Mytilus edulis: one gene and its partner. The protein of the gene in region 2 interacts with the protein of the main gene of each other region in a pairwise test. Links are inferred from orthologs where the notes say so. Each region holds a gene or a part of one and is shown on either strand. Other genes may lie near its edges.

Region 1 (6,852 bases), on a different chromosome or scaffold from region 2:
TATAAAATGTAGTTTTTACCGTCATTTCTAAATACTTGACACTTCAGAACCTTTATTAACCGGTTTCACCGTGACTATATGCAATAAGTCACCTATACCTGTCACTATGTACATGCAGTGTTTGTATATAAGAAGATGTGGTATGAGTGCCAATGAGACAAGTCTCCATCCAAGTCACAATTTATAAAAGTAGACAATTATAGGTCAAGGTACTGTCCTTAACACGGAGCCTTGGCTCACACCGAACAGCAAGCTATAAAGGGCCCAAAAATTAATAGTGTTAAACCATTCAAACTGGAAAACCAACTGTCTTATCTATATTAAAAACCAGAAACAAGAAACACTTATGAACGACATCAACAAAGTTAACTATTGAAGTTCAGATTCCTGACTTAGGGTCTTACTTAGGACAGGTGCAACAATTATACACTTAACGATTGCCTTATTTTTTAATTATGCAAAAAAATCACATCAACTGATCAAAAATTCATATAAAAAATAGAAAATTGTACTGTCCAATACCCTAATGACAAACTTGACATAGCATGTACCCAAGTTTTTAAAACCAAAGACTTTCGGAACAAGAAAATTGCACCTTTTCTACCTATAGGCAAATCACACTTTTTGCCAAAATTCTCAAATAAAGAATTTTATTATATATTTTAACATATATCATCATTCATGTTAACAAAACAAAACCACTTTTGATAGGAACTATTTTCTCATATGTATACAATGAACATTAAGAGAAATTGATTGTTGTCTTTGACTTATGAGACCCCTTTTCAACGTGAAAAAGTTGATATGTGTAGTGTTTGTTATTTTAATCCTACTTGTAATTTGTTTTTGTTCACACATTGCAGTCAATAATATGAAATTTTATGCGACTGTCAAATAAGTGAAAGGTTAGCTAGCTATAAAACCAGGTTTAATCCACCATTTTCTACCTTAGACAATGCCTGTACCAAGTCAGGAATATGCCAGTTGTTTTTCATTCGTTTGATGTGTTTGAGCTTTTGATTTTTCCATTTGATAAGAGACTTTCCGTTTTTACCTTGGAGTTTGACATTTTCTATATTTTATATTTTGCAATGATTCATGTAAATCCCATAATAGATAAAGATTAAAAGGGCCCGGCGATGCAGCAACATTTTGGCACTGGTTAACACACACAAACATTGTCCTGTTGTGGCAGTAACAGTCCTTATACACATTCGAAAGATTTTAATGATTGAAAATATGTGAACGACCGTTAACGACAGAAAGCACAATTTTTGAATAATAACAGCATTGATATTTGCATGTACTATTGAAAATTTATCCACTATGGTCTTGCGTAAGGGAGTACGCATGTCATGCAGATCACAATCTAAATTTTTGACTTTAATATTTTAAATCAATCGCATTCAACTTGTGCTAAACTTTCAAGTACATGTACTTTTACATTATAAATAGACAAATTACAACAAAATTAAGCTATAAAAAGTCGGAAATTTGGAGAAAACAAATAATGTTTAATGGCAATAATTGTAGTGTTGCTGCAACAAGAGATACGAAATTTTGGAACATACTAATTTAGGTCTGCCTGGAGCTGGAATGTCAGTAACGACTGGTAGTCCTTTGCTAATTTATGTATTATGTCACTTTGCTTAGTTTCTTTTGTAGCCTGTTCTGACATCGGACTCTTAATTCTTTTACAGAGGCGGATTTAGGGGGGGGGGGGCAGGGGGCCCGCCCCCCCTTTTGAGAAAAAAATTGGTTGCTTATATAGGGATTCACTGAAGCGTGACGAGATCGGGCCCCCTCTTAAGCAGCCAGTGGGCCCCCACTTATGAAAATTTCTGGATCCGCCACTGTTTTAAACTTAGTTTTACTATGCGTTTTGCTATGTGTTTGTTTATTCTGTATTGGCTAGAGTTAAAGGGGAGGTTGAGATCTCATAAAAAATGTTTAACCTCGTCGTATTTTTGCTGCTGCTGTCCCAACTTGGCCTTTGTTAGTCATGTATGTTTTTGATTTTAGTTCATTTATATGTTTTGAAGTTAAGTATGACGTCCATTTTCACTGAACAACTGCACATTTTATTAAGGGGGGGGGGGGGGTGCAGCTGAGGCCCATCTCTGTGTGCGAGATTTTCTCGCTGCGTTGAAGACCATTTGGTGACCTTCAGCTGTTTTATGCTCTTTGGTCGGGTTGTTGTCTCTTTGACATATTCCCCATTCCCATTCCCAATTTTATTATGTTTAAAAAGTTAGTGGAATACGGTCCGTTTGTCCTACATAAATAATAACAGACACGGGTAACAAAATTGTCAATCACAATGTCACACGAGCTTGCTTTTCTACAGAAATAGCTGATTTACCATGACATTAATTTTGGACCTGGTTCGGGTTCCTATGCAAAAAATCCAAGAAAATCGCATTAAAGTTTTTCTTTTTAGTTGAAAATAATTCTTGAAATTTGTACATGAATATATCAAAGGGAACTAGAAGCATGTTCTTCGTCCTACAAACGGATTACATTTATTATTAAATAACAAGTTTTAATTTGTTGTCTTCTTTAATACACATTTCTATTTGGTTGCAAAGCTGCCAGTATCTGTTTAAAAGTTTTGTTTTTGTTTAAGGTTTTTTTGGTTAATCCGTTTTATTTTGTGTTGAAACATGTTTTAAGTTTTACTCTTAACCAGGTTATTGGTTAAATTCAACCTCAAACATGTTGAAAGAAAATAAAACACGCCTATAATACACTCAAGAAGAGTCGGACTCTGAATTGAAAGAAGAAAACGAAAGTAGATTATCGAAACACGTCGTCTCTCACCGTTACTGCTACTTCATCATCTGCCAAGATAAGAGCGGCATATACGCAGGCAAGTTCGTCTTTTGATGCCATTGTTAGTTGTGTATTACAATTTAGGGACGATGTCAAATAAAACAAAATGTAGGTCGCCGATTGGCCTTAGCTTTGAAAGAACACCACACTTTTGTTTTCAAGCAAATGTGAAAAGGACGGAAACGGAAGTAGAGTCTCAAAGCTGAAAAAAGTTTTTGACTATTTCATCTAAGGGATTCATCAACCAAACGATATCAAAATCTTTTGTTAAATGTATGTATGTGGGTTAGCAAATATCTATTTGATATGGATACAAAACTTTGTTTTTTTAGAGATTTATCAACGTTGCATTAGCGATCTGTACTTCCGTTTCCGGTTGTTGTTTCTATTTCGAAAGTAAACATGTGGAAAGTAGGAGCTGTGTTGTTACTTGTTTTTTCTGCTGTTGTGACTGCTGACAATGATGATCATGGATCTGAAGCTGTGTCACATACAGCCGATAGTTTTGCTACCCAAGTGGAGGAGACAAAACAATTTGTTATGTTCTTTGCCCCATGGTGAGTGACTTTCAAAAATTGTACAGTAGTTTAGTTATCTGTTAGTCCAAATAATTATGACGTCTGGCAAGGCTATTTTAATTTTTTTCTAGGACGCCTTCCTGTCCCAGAAAAAAAGTAAAATAGCCTTGCCAGACGTCATAATTATTTGGACTAGTTATCTGTCTACTGCAGTATACTTACACTAAAATTGAGAATGGAAATGGGGAATGTGCCAAAGAGACAACAACCCGACCATAGAAAAAAACAACAGCAGAAGGTCACCAACAGGTCTTCAATGTAGCGAGAAGTTCCCGCACCCGGAGGCGTCCTTCAGCTGGCCCCTAAACAAAGATATACTAGTTCAGTGATAATGAACTCCATACTAATTTCCAAATTGTACACAAGAAACTAAAATTAAAATAATACAAGACTAACAAAGGCCAGAGGCTCCTGACTTGGGACAGGCGCAAAAATGCGGTGGGGTTAAACATGTTTGTGAGATCTCAACCCTCCCCCTATACCTCTAGCGAATGTAGAAAAGTCTTTCATTTTATAAATTTATTTAACTTGTTTATTTTTTGTTTGTTATTTTTTCCCTTTATTTGTTTAAAATCATTCACTTTGTAAGATTGAAATACAACAAACTTGTTCGGACCACATCTAAAAAGAAACGAAAATACTGTAAATGTTCTGTTGTCAGTGATTTTTAGTTGTAACGTTATTGAATGTAATCAATACACCTTATCACTAATCCCGGCTGACCCGGCCGCTTGAACTTTTGACGCATACAACAATCACTTTTCCATTGTGGCATCAGATATTTTGTTTTATGACGTAAAATTTTTACGGGAACCTGTGTGATATCCAGTAATGGAGGACAAATAGCAATAAGGTGTATGTAAACAAAGAAAAGCTATCATCAGGTAATGTTTTTTTCATATCAAAGAATTAATAAAAACAAAATTGGTATGAAGTTCTTCCTTATTTTACTAGACTGATAAATATATATTTTACTTAAAGACTCATGACTACATGACTAACAAGACTGGAAGAAGGAAGTAGATTTCTGCGCAAATGCGTGATAATAAAAAAAGTCTAAAAATAAATGTTCACTTTTTTTGTCACATATTGTTACTATAAAATTAATGGAAATAGAAATTGAAATCAGCCACCAATGGGTCTTCAACACAATGAGAAAATCAAGCACAAGGAGACAATGGGAGACAAGCTTCAGATATTTATTTAAATTTTCAAATCAGATGTTATTGGTGATTTTATACATAAATTGTAACTCATAACAATACATTGTAGAAGGAATCAGGTCCCAGGGACGGATCCAGCCATTTTGAAAAGGGGGGGCTCCCATCCCAGGATAAAAGGGGGGGGGGTTCCAACTACATGTCCCCATTCAAATGCATTGATCGTCCTAAAAAAAGGGAGGGGGGGGGGGTTGCAACCCTGGAAACCCTTCCCTGGATCCGCCACTAGGTCCACAATACAACTGCAACTACAGAAACAGAATAAATTCAAAATGTTTGTCTAGTTAGTATTCTTTTTGATAAACAGTTATTATATATATGGAGGAAATCATATGACTTTCAACATGGCAGCATTTGTCTAATTTTGTCAACAGAATAATGTGTGCAAGCTCAACTGTACGGGAAAAAAAATGTGGAATTATAGCATATTTTAACTTGAAACATTTGTGAAAAAATCTGTAAAAAAAAAAAAAATAGGGAAACATGTCCAATTTTGGTCCTGTTGTTAGGGATTTCAGTTGTGAAGTTGTTTTCAATGTCAACTTAGAGACACTTATCATTCAGAAAATAATTTTAATTTCATATCAAAGAATTTAAAAAAAATATATTTATATCAATGAAGATACATGTACCAAGTCAGCTTGTTAATTTTGATCAGATACTAAAAATTTACAGTTGATTTATCAGGTAAGGTTCCAAAGAGAACACAATTTATATGCCTTATTTTTATGTTGATTAATTATAAGGTCCAGACTCATTTTGAAATGTAAAAAATTTATTTAAATTTTTCACCTGGCATTTTTTTTTTCGTTATAAAAACAACAAATTTGCAGGAAAGTCCGAAACCATTATGATTCTCATTCCAATATTTTACTGAGTCTCTTGATAAACAAGACCTAAAGAAAGAACAAGATTGTTCCACAAATAAGGTAAACTCAAAGTTGGAAGAAGTAAAAGTTAACGATTCTAAGTTCGTTGGTCATGTTGGTAGATTGACTGTTTTCTTTGTTTTATTAATTTTCTTACTGTTATCAGGGACTTTCCCCCTTTGTTTAATTGATTTTCTTACTGTAATCAGGGACTTTCCCCCCATATAATGTGATAATTGTCAGGTCTTGAATTGGATATATGATAAAACAGATGCTTCATGACAAGCTATTGGATTTGGAAGTAGAAAGAATGAAATAAAATTGCAACAATTACCAATGATTATCATTAAAAAAGATGATGATTGAATTTATATTAAAAAAATATTTAATTTTTTCTTTGGCCTTAAATCATGATTTTTAGCAATAATCTATTTTTAACTGCTGACGTGGCTTAATTTCATATGCTGATACAAATGAATACAGTTTTAAAAATTCCTAGTATTTCCATTTATTCAATACAAAAGTTAAAAGTCATTTGATGGTTGTATTTAAATCATAGACTCACATTAACTTGTTCCATTTAAATGCTGATGAGAAAAGGTGATTTATTAGGAATAATTCATGAATTTTAAATTTTTAATGACTGAATGATATTAGATTTGTACAATTTGAGGAATTGTATTTCAAATTTTTCCTTTGTTTTTAATTGATTTGAATTATTTTATGGGTTTGTACTGTGGAATCTGTGACAATTAAATTATTTGTGACTATTTTCTCAGTATCTATATTGTTTAAAATAATGTAATTGCTTGGCTTTGATATTAAGATGGTCATTTAATAAAAAACCCAAAAAACCACATTAGAATATATTTGAAGGTCCCTTAGTTAACTGCTAGTAGTCTGTTTTTATTTATGTATTATTGTCATTTTATTTATTTTCTTTTATCTTCTGACATCGGACTCGGACTTCTCTTGAACTGAATTTCAATGTGCGTATTGTTATGCGTTTACTTTTCTACATTGGCTAGAGGTATAGGAGGAGGGTTGAGATCTCATAAACATGTTTAACCCCGCCGCGATTTTGCGCCTGTCCAAAGTCAGGAGCCTCTGGCCTTTGTTAGCCCTTGAAGGTTTTGTAGGACTATAGGAACAATCTTTCACGTAAAACCCCCATGGGCATTTTGAAAAATTGGCAGGTATGTCATTAAAGTCAGTCATTTTAAATTGTGGATCACCTATAAAAGATTTTTTTATTGTTTATGTGCACAACTATAGAACCACTCAAACAAGATAAACAGTGATATATACATATATGCCTTTTAACTTTTAAAAATGAAAAATTTAAAATGGATA
Region 2 (7,501 bases):
CGTTTATAAATACACTGTTTCTCCAGGTGGTCGTGTAAGTGTTCGTACATTGGTCCGTCACTTTATAGAGGCAAACGAAGAGCACGTCGTGGTGTATAGAGACCTGTACCTTCAAGCAGGCACTCTACCGTCAGGTTTAAATGGGATAATGAACATCTATGCTTGAACATAAGAACCTGACAAAACACTCATTGGTCAGATGGGAGTCAGTTTCCTTTACTGCCAGAAGACGCCATAATACGAATTTCGCAGGGGAAAAAAACGGCCTATGACCAAAAACAATATTTGCACAAGGACTGCATGCATTGCTGGTTGTGTTCCAGTACGGGGTTGCTTCTTATACCGTTATAAGCTGGGTATGCATATTCTGCAGGGTAACATAAACGGACAGACATACAGAGATTTGGTGCCTTAACATATTGTAGTCCGTCATTTTAGTAATCCCCCACTTGCGTCAACATTGTCAAGACACTTGTACCTGAATGACAACGCTATACCACGCAGGGCAAGAATTTTAACCGTGTCCAAAGAGCAACCAGCCATTTACACTAATTTTTGGCCTTCCTTGACTCCATGCATGAACCCTATCAAACATGTCTGAGATGCCATTGTCGGAAATCTCAATCGAGATTCACCTTTACAAAAGTTTGTCGATTTAAAAGTGGCATATTTGTTTAATGCAACAGATTTCCTCAACTAAAGTTTTGAAGGCTTGTACCGAGAAAGATAGTCGTGTTATGAAACTGTACCGGAAATGAGGTTGTTACACATGCTATTGACTCAAATATTGACATTAAATTTGCCAAACATACCAAAGATTATGTGTAGAAAATTTTAATGGTATTGGGTGATTAATTGTTGTAAAAAAATAAAATCACAGTGAAACTTAAATTCCATTTCTTAATTGTGTAATTTACACTATTTCTATGAACGAAAAACCTATATGCATAGAACCTTCATAAGTGACCAAAATTATATTTGTGGTTTGTTAATGGTATACATTAGCAAAATTGCTATATGATTGTTTTCTATTTTTCGAGGAACAATTGATTTTTTAAATTTGAAAAAAAATCGATGCAATAAAAGTAGGTGGTGCTTAACTTTTGGCGGACTGTATATATAGCCATGCCATTGACAGTAAATTGAGACCTAACATAGAGTAAACAATATTTCATTTGAAAATATTAACGTATACATTACAATATGCCAGTTTTATTAGGATTTGAAAACAAGAGATTTTCCACTTTTACAAATTCCTCCCCTAACTTGATATTGTTCTTAAATAATGTAATTTTGCTATCTTTCATAATTTATACAATAAGACAGACCTTAGTTATATCCATACTATTGACAGTAATTTTGCCTTGTTCATCTTCTAAACTGTCATCTTTTACTGTTATACTGAAAGAAAAATATTACATCATTAAAATATTTAAATTTCTTTACACCTTACAATGTATCCCTATTCCCTCCTGAACCTAAAATCTGTGCCGCTTGAACTATTGACCTATTCCCTCCTGAACCTAAAATCTGTGCCGCTTGAACTATTGACATGATACAACATTCACTTTTCCATTGTGGCATCAGATATTTTGTATTATGATGCCAACATTTTACAGGAACCTGTGTGATATCCAGTAATGGCAGACAAATAGCGATAAGGTGTATTCATATACCTTAAAATTGGATATTTTATTTGGATAATGGTTTGATTGATTGATCGCTGCTTAACATCCAGAGGTGAAAATTGTCATTATAATACCCTGCGTTGCACTACACTGACAGGTTGCGATAGATTCTTAACAGGCTAGGACATAAGGTTATTATAGTCAACAGGAGAACATGCCATCCTGCACTTACTGCATGAACACACTGTCCTGACTCCATGTCAACTTGTCTTGCTCTGATTACAAAATGTCTACACCTTTCAATCCCTTACGACCATGATGACATATTGAAATGTAGCATTAAAGCATATGGATTTTATTTTCTCCTGGTTTTGGAAATCTACATTTATTAACTGCAGAGATAAAAAAAAAATATTTTGGTGTAGCTGCATTGCTATAGTACTAGTATTGGCATATAACTCATATCTTATACATGTATATTTCTTTCATCATGTTCATATTTATTTCACCTACTTTATCAGCTGTTGTCCTGCAAATTTCTTCAGTAATTCTTCCACAACATCAAGTTTAACGGTCTGTTTGAGTATTTTAGATGAATGTTCTGCTATAACATTAGAACTACAGGGTATGTCTAGATCTATGTCACAGAGAGCCAACATTACTTTCTTCTCTAGAACAGGGTCTATCTTTGTAGGTTCAGCAGCCGGTGTGGACTTTACTGGACTGGAAGATGTAGATGGTATTGCTTTAACAGGGCTTGCTGATTCTGATTGGCTCTTTGTATCTGAAAAATAAAGTTCATGATTTGAGGCAAAATCAATTAAAAGTTCTTGTACAAAATTTTTATTTAAATTCAAATTCAAACCAGATGCTCCGCAGGTTGCAGCTTTATACGACCGCAGAGGTTGAACCCTGAATGGTTGGGGCAAGTATGGACACAACATTCAAGCTGGATTCAGCTCTAAATTTGGATTGTGATTAAATAGTTGACACAGCATAGGTTTCTGACACAGAATGAATGTGGTCTAATGAACTTAAAATATTTTTTTTGCCTTTGAGTTATTCACTATGCTGTTGAATATTAATCCTCTCAAAAAAATGTTTAAAGAAATTTTCTTTTTATTTATGAAATCTGAAATGAGAAAAATTTACCCCCCCCCCCCCCTCCCATTTTTTTTTCACATCCCCCTTTACCATGTTTACCTTTTTCCAAAACTGATCTCAATTCAAACTTCTAATGGAGTTTGCAACAATAACTACTCATTTAAGTACATCATAAAATATTAAAATATAAAATAAAGTGCTTGTTATCACTGAATGGTAAAGATTGTTTTAATTTATCAGTCGGTAGTAAAAGTGAATATGCATTGTATAATGTTTAGATTTAGCATATCAAAAAAGCCCAAGAATTCAATTTTTGTTAAAATCAAACTTAGTTTAATTTTGGACCCTTTGGACTTTAATGTAGACCAATTTGAAAAGTTATGGTGCGAAAACCAAGAACAATGCTTATTTGGGCCCTTTTTTGGCCCCTAATTTCTAAACTGTTGGAACCAAAACTCCCAAAATCAATACCAACCTTCCTTTTGTGGTCATAAACCTTGTGTCAAAATTTCATAGATTTCTATTTACTTAAACTAAAGTTATAGTGCTAAAACAAAGAAAATGCTTATTTGGGCCCTTTTTGGCCCCTAATTCCTAAAATATTGGGACCAAAACTCTCAAAATCAATCCCAATCTTCCTTTTGTGGTCATAAACCTTGTGTTAAAATTTCATAGATTTCTATTCACTTTTACTAAAAATAATGATTGTTGATTTAACTTGCTTTGATGTAAATACTGCATGTATTTATCTTGTTATGAGTGAGTAAAACTTTGAAGATCACGAGAGATAATTGTTTTTAACAGCTTGGCTCCTAAATTTGATCTCTTTTAAAAAAAAATATTCATAGCAATACACTTACGAAATATGATTAAGATTTTATCAACACATAAAAAACATTGTCAGAATTTCACTTTATTTAGAAAAAATGAACAAATCATTTTTATGTAGAGCAATACACTTGCTTTAACGGTATTATAAAGATTTATTCAACACGTCAAAAAAATGTTATCAGAACCTCACTATATGTAGAAACAATGAAAAAAATATTTATAAATAGCAATACACTTCATGCACTTTATTACCCAAACTCGATTCCAAATTGTATAACACAATACCCATAAAAATTGGTCTTGAACGTGTAGGGTGCGAACAGACTTTGAGTGCGAAAGTGTAGGGTGGGAAAGTGAAAGGGCGCCAACGTGAATGGGCGCGAAGGTGATTGCTCGCGAACAGACCCAGATTCATGAGACCTCCAGTAAAATGGTGTAAAAATAGCAATAAGATCAACATTAACGACAATGGAAAAAAAAATATATGGGTCAGCTATTTTGTGTGCTAATTCTCAGTTGCAAAATGGACAATTTCAATGAGAACCAGATAATGGTGTTTCACCTTCACTACTTGTTGTTGGTGAGATGCTAGACTTGGTGATTTCGGCTGCAATTTCCTCTCTTTCTTTTCGTCTCTGGAGCATTTTAGCTCTCAAGCTACTCTGTTTGCTTTTGATAGCTTGGATATCGCTCCATGCATCTGAATCTGACATGGTGGTGTCTTAAATCAGGTTCGTAAATAGGTAAATAGTTCGATCTCGAAATCAATTCTCTTTTTTTTTTAATTTGATCAGTGTCAATTATCTGCAATTCAAACAAACGAAATATTTTCTATTTTAAAGCGCTTAAAAGACCCAGAAGGGCACTTTTCTAAAATAACTGGTTCCCTGTTTGTAATTTTGTTGCTGATTTGCCTCAAATTAATATAAAAAGAACCAGAATAAAGTAGGAAAACATTGACAATGGCGTCACATGGAAGAGCACACGGCGTTCCCCACGGTTGGCCTAAACAATCTAATTCCGCATCCTTCCCAAAATATGGCACTGCAAATCCTCTCATAACTCTCGACAGACCAATCAATTTGTAAGCACTCTAGCCATATAGGTTCATGTGTCTTTTAATTTATCTATCAGAAATTCATGATCTTTCTTTTGTAGACTACTACTACTAGTACTAGTGCAACACTCCAACAGCAAGACAGGATCTGTATGATTCCGGATAAGTGTTCCTGGTTAATTAGTTCTTTTGAAGAATGCGTAAACCACAGACCCAACTTAATCAGGTCATGAACCATACCAGCTAACCCTCACATTGCGAGCGGGAGACTCTAGGGCAAACAACAAAATTACGGAAATCTCCCACTTGCCAGTCCAGTCCCGAACAGGATTAAAATCTCTCGCTTTTGGATATTTTGACCTGGAATAATACGAGTTCAAAATTCTCTGCCTTTTCAATAAAATGTTAAGCTTTTTTTTAAATTTGTTTCCTATTATACTTGCAGTGTTCTCCCCGGTATCAGGTCCGTTCGCGCCCAATATACTTTTGCACCCTACACGTTCGCACCTCGCACGTTCGCACCCAAGGTCCGTTCGCACTCTACACGTTCGCGCCCAATTTTAATTCAAATTCCAGTTGAATAATTTGAAAATCATGATTGTTGTTTTTAATTGCTTTCGTGTAAATACTGAATGTATTTATAGCTTGGTATGAGTAAAAGATTGAAGATTTTAAATGAAAAACACAAAAGATAATTGTTTTGAACAGCTTGGTCCCTTTGATCTGAAATAATGAAACAATACACTATTATATATCACTATACATGATAAAATTTAATCCAACACACACAAAAAAAAAGAAACGTAGTCAGAATCTCACTTCATTTTGAAACAAGTCAATGAAAAAAAGTTATAGCAATACACTAACCAAAACATGATAAACAATTATTCAACAGTTCAGTTCAGTTCAGTTTCTTGTATATTCCTCCATTAAATGTGGAGCACTACCCAAAGGGTATAGTTTGAGCAACTATTTACACCTTAAAACATAGGGAAACAATTAATTAAATTATATACAGATGACTGAATTTCAACACAAAATAAAACGTTGACAGAATCCCACTTTATTTAGAAAGGAATATAATTTTTTTTAACAATACACTAACCAAAACATGATTAAGATTTATTCAACACAAAAAAAATGCTGTCTCACTTTATTTTGAGACCATGAAAACAATTATACTTATAAGAATACTACGTACTTGCCAAAACTTGATTACAAAGTTATTAAACACAAAACCAATTAAAATTGGGCGCGAACATGTAGGGTGCGAACGGACTTTGGGTGCGAACATGTAGGGTGCGAAAATGAAAGGGGGCGAACATGTGTGGGTGCGAACGTGAATGGGCGCAAACGGACCCGGATTCGTTCTCCCCAGGCCGTTTTAGCGTCGCGGTACCGCGACGCTATATTTTTTCACCGTGATGCTATGATAATTCCAGCGACGCTATAATTATTACCGCAACGCTATAATTATTCCCGCCACGCTATAATTATTTTGAAGATGCTATTTTACTTGTCCTCAATTTTGAACTTTCATCTATTATTGATTATGATCATAAAAATTATATCACCTTTAATTGTAATCCCTTTAAGTCGGACACGAAAGGCAATTAAGAGATTAAATAGCTAGGTGTTAATTGCCCTCAGGGTGATAACTGTTTGGATGCGAATATCCCAAGCTGTCACTTGTGACATGATTAATACCACGTCACGTGTCTGCAATCACCAATTTCGACATGGAATAATGCAATCACAACACAATTCGAAATCTACGTTTTATATTACGAAATTTCAAAGATTGAAACGATTTTTATTTTTTTTTAAAAGGTCGTTTATTTGTGCAACTCTCCAAAAATTACTTTCTTTCTCTTCCAGTAATACGAGAGCGAGAATTTTGGTTTAGAGCTAAAATAAGTTTAATATTTCTTTAAAAAGTTATCATAATTGGCTGAAGTTTATGTTTAATCCATTTAATGCATTAAAAGCGTCTTATTCATTCACAATCTCTTGTCAAACAATGTTTATTCTCAGACTCATTTTCGTAAATTTTTCTACGGCCGCCATTGCACATTTTTGTGTAAACTACGGATAGGAACCGGACTAGATATGACAAAAATCCGCATTTTCACGATAATGACAACAGATGGACAGTAGACAGAAAAAATATACCACGAAAGAAAACTACGTATTAACAGACTATTTGTTAGATGACTTTGTTAAAAATACATATCATTTTGATGTAAAGATAAACAACTGGGACTAATTCATTGAGTGCCATGAAACAATGAATTTCATAAACATGATAAAAAAAAGTTTTTAAATTGAGGATTTTTTTGGCTACTTTATCTTTACTTAAAATAATATAAAAAATTGTTAATTTTGTGTACTAAATATTTAGTTTTGTATATATATACCGGTTGCACTATAATGAACCATTCATTCATTTGACTTATTATTGGGTAACTGAAACCACATATTTATTTTTATTTGGCACAAAAGGAAAAAAATAATTCTGATTACTATAAATGAATAAAGAAAACATAAACTGAAACAACTGTTTTTGTGGTTACAGTTTAATTGTATTCTCAGTTATGAATTGAACAATATAAACTAAAACATATAAAGGAAATAGAGCATCAACACGACGCGACAAATGACATTAAAAAAAATACTGTTATTTTTTTTAACGTAAAAATTTCTGGGGAGAACACTGACTTGTACTTTTCATTAACAGTGTTCTCCCCAGAAATTTTGGATAGCATCACATTTTGCGTAAAAAAAAATAAGTGTATTTTTTTTAATATTGTTTGTGATTGCATATTTCCATGTCGATATTGGTGATTGCAGACACGTGGTATTTAGTCATGTCACAAGTGTC

What was found.
Region 1: the proteins of cleavage and polyadenylation specificity factor subunit 5-like (region 2) and large ribosomal subunit protein P1-like interact in a two-hybrid assay, tested with the Homo sapiens proteins (2 studies listed by BioGRID and IntAct). The link is inferred for Mytilus edulis from reciprocal best matches to the Homo sapiens genes NUDT21 and RPLP1.

Annotation. Positions count from the first base shown.
Region 1 is NC_092355.1:8,605,355-8,612,206, forward strand, and holds the start of large ribosomal subunit protein P1-like, read right to left. Parts: upstream 3,026-6,852; 5' UTR 2,893-3,025; coding exon 2,821-2,892; intron 1-2,820. Other genes in the region: thioredoxin domain-containing protein 5-like, read left to right, coding at 3,235-3,389. UniProt on the Homo sapiens protein: Plays an important role in the elongation step of protein synthesis.
Region 2 is NC_092348.1:95,908,158-95,915,658, forward strand, and holds the start of cleavage and polyadenylation specificity factor subunit 5-like, read left to right. Parts: upstream 1-4,491; 5' UTR 4,492-4,525; coding exon 4,526-4,647; intron 4,648-7,501. Other genes in the region: N(6)-adenosine-methyltransferase catalytic subunit METTL3-like, read right to left, coding at 1,329-1,401, 2,142-2,412, 4,126-4,276. UniProt on the Homo sapiens protein: Component of the cleavage factor Im (CFIm) complex that functions as an activator of the pre-mRNA 3'-end cleavage and polyadenylation processing required for the maturation of pre-mRNA into functional mRNAs.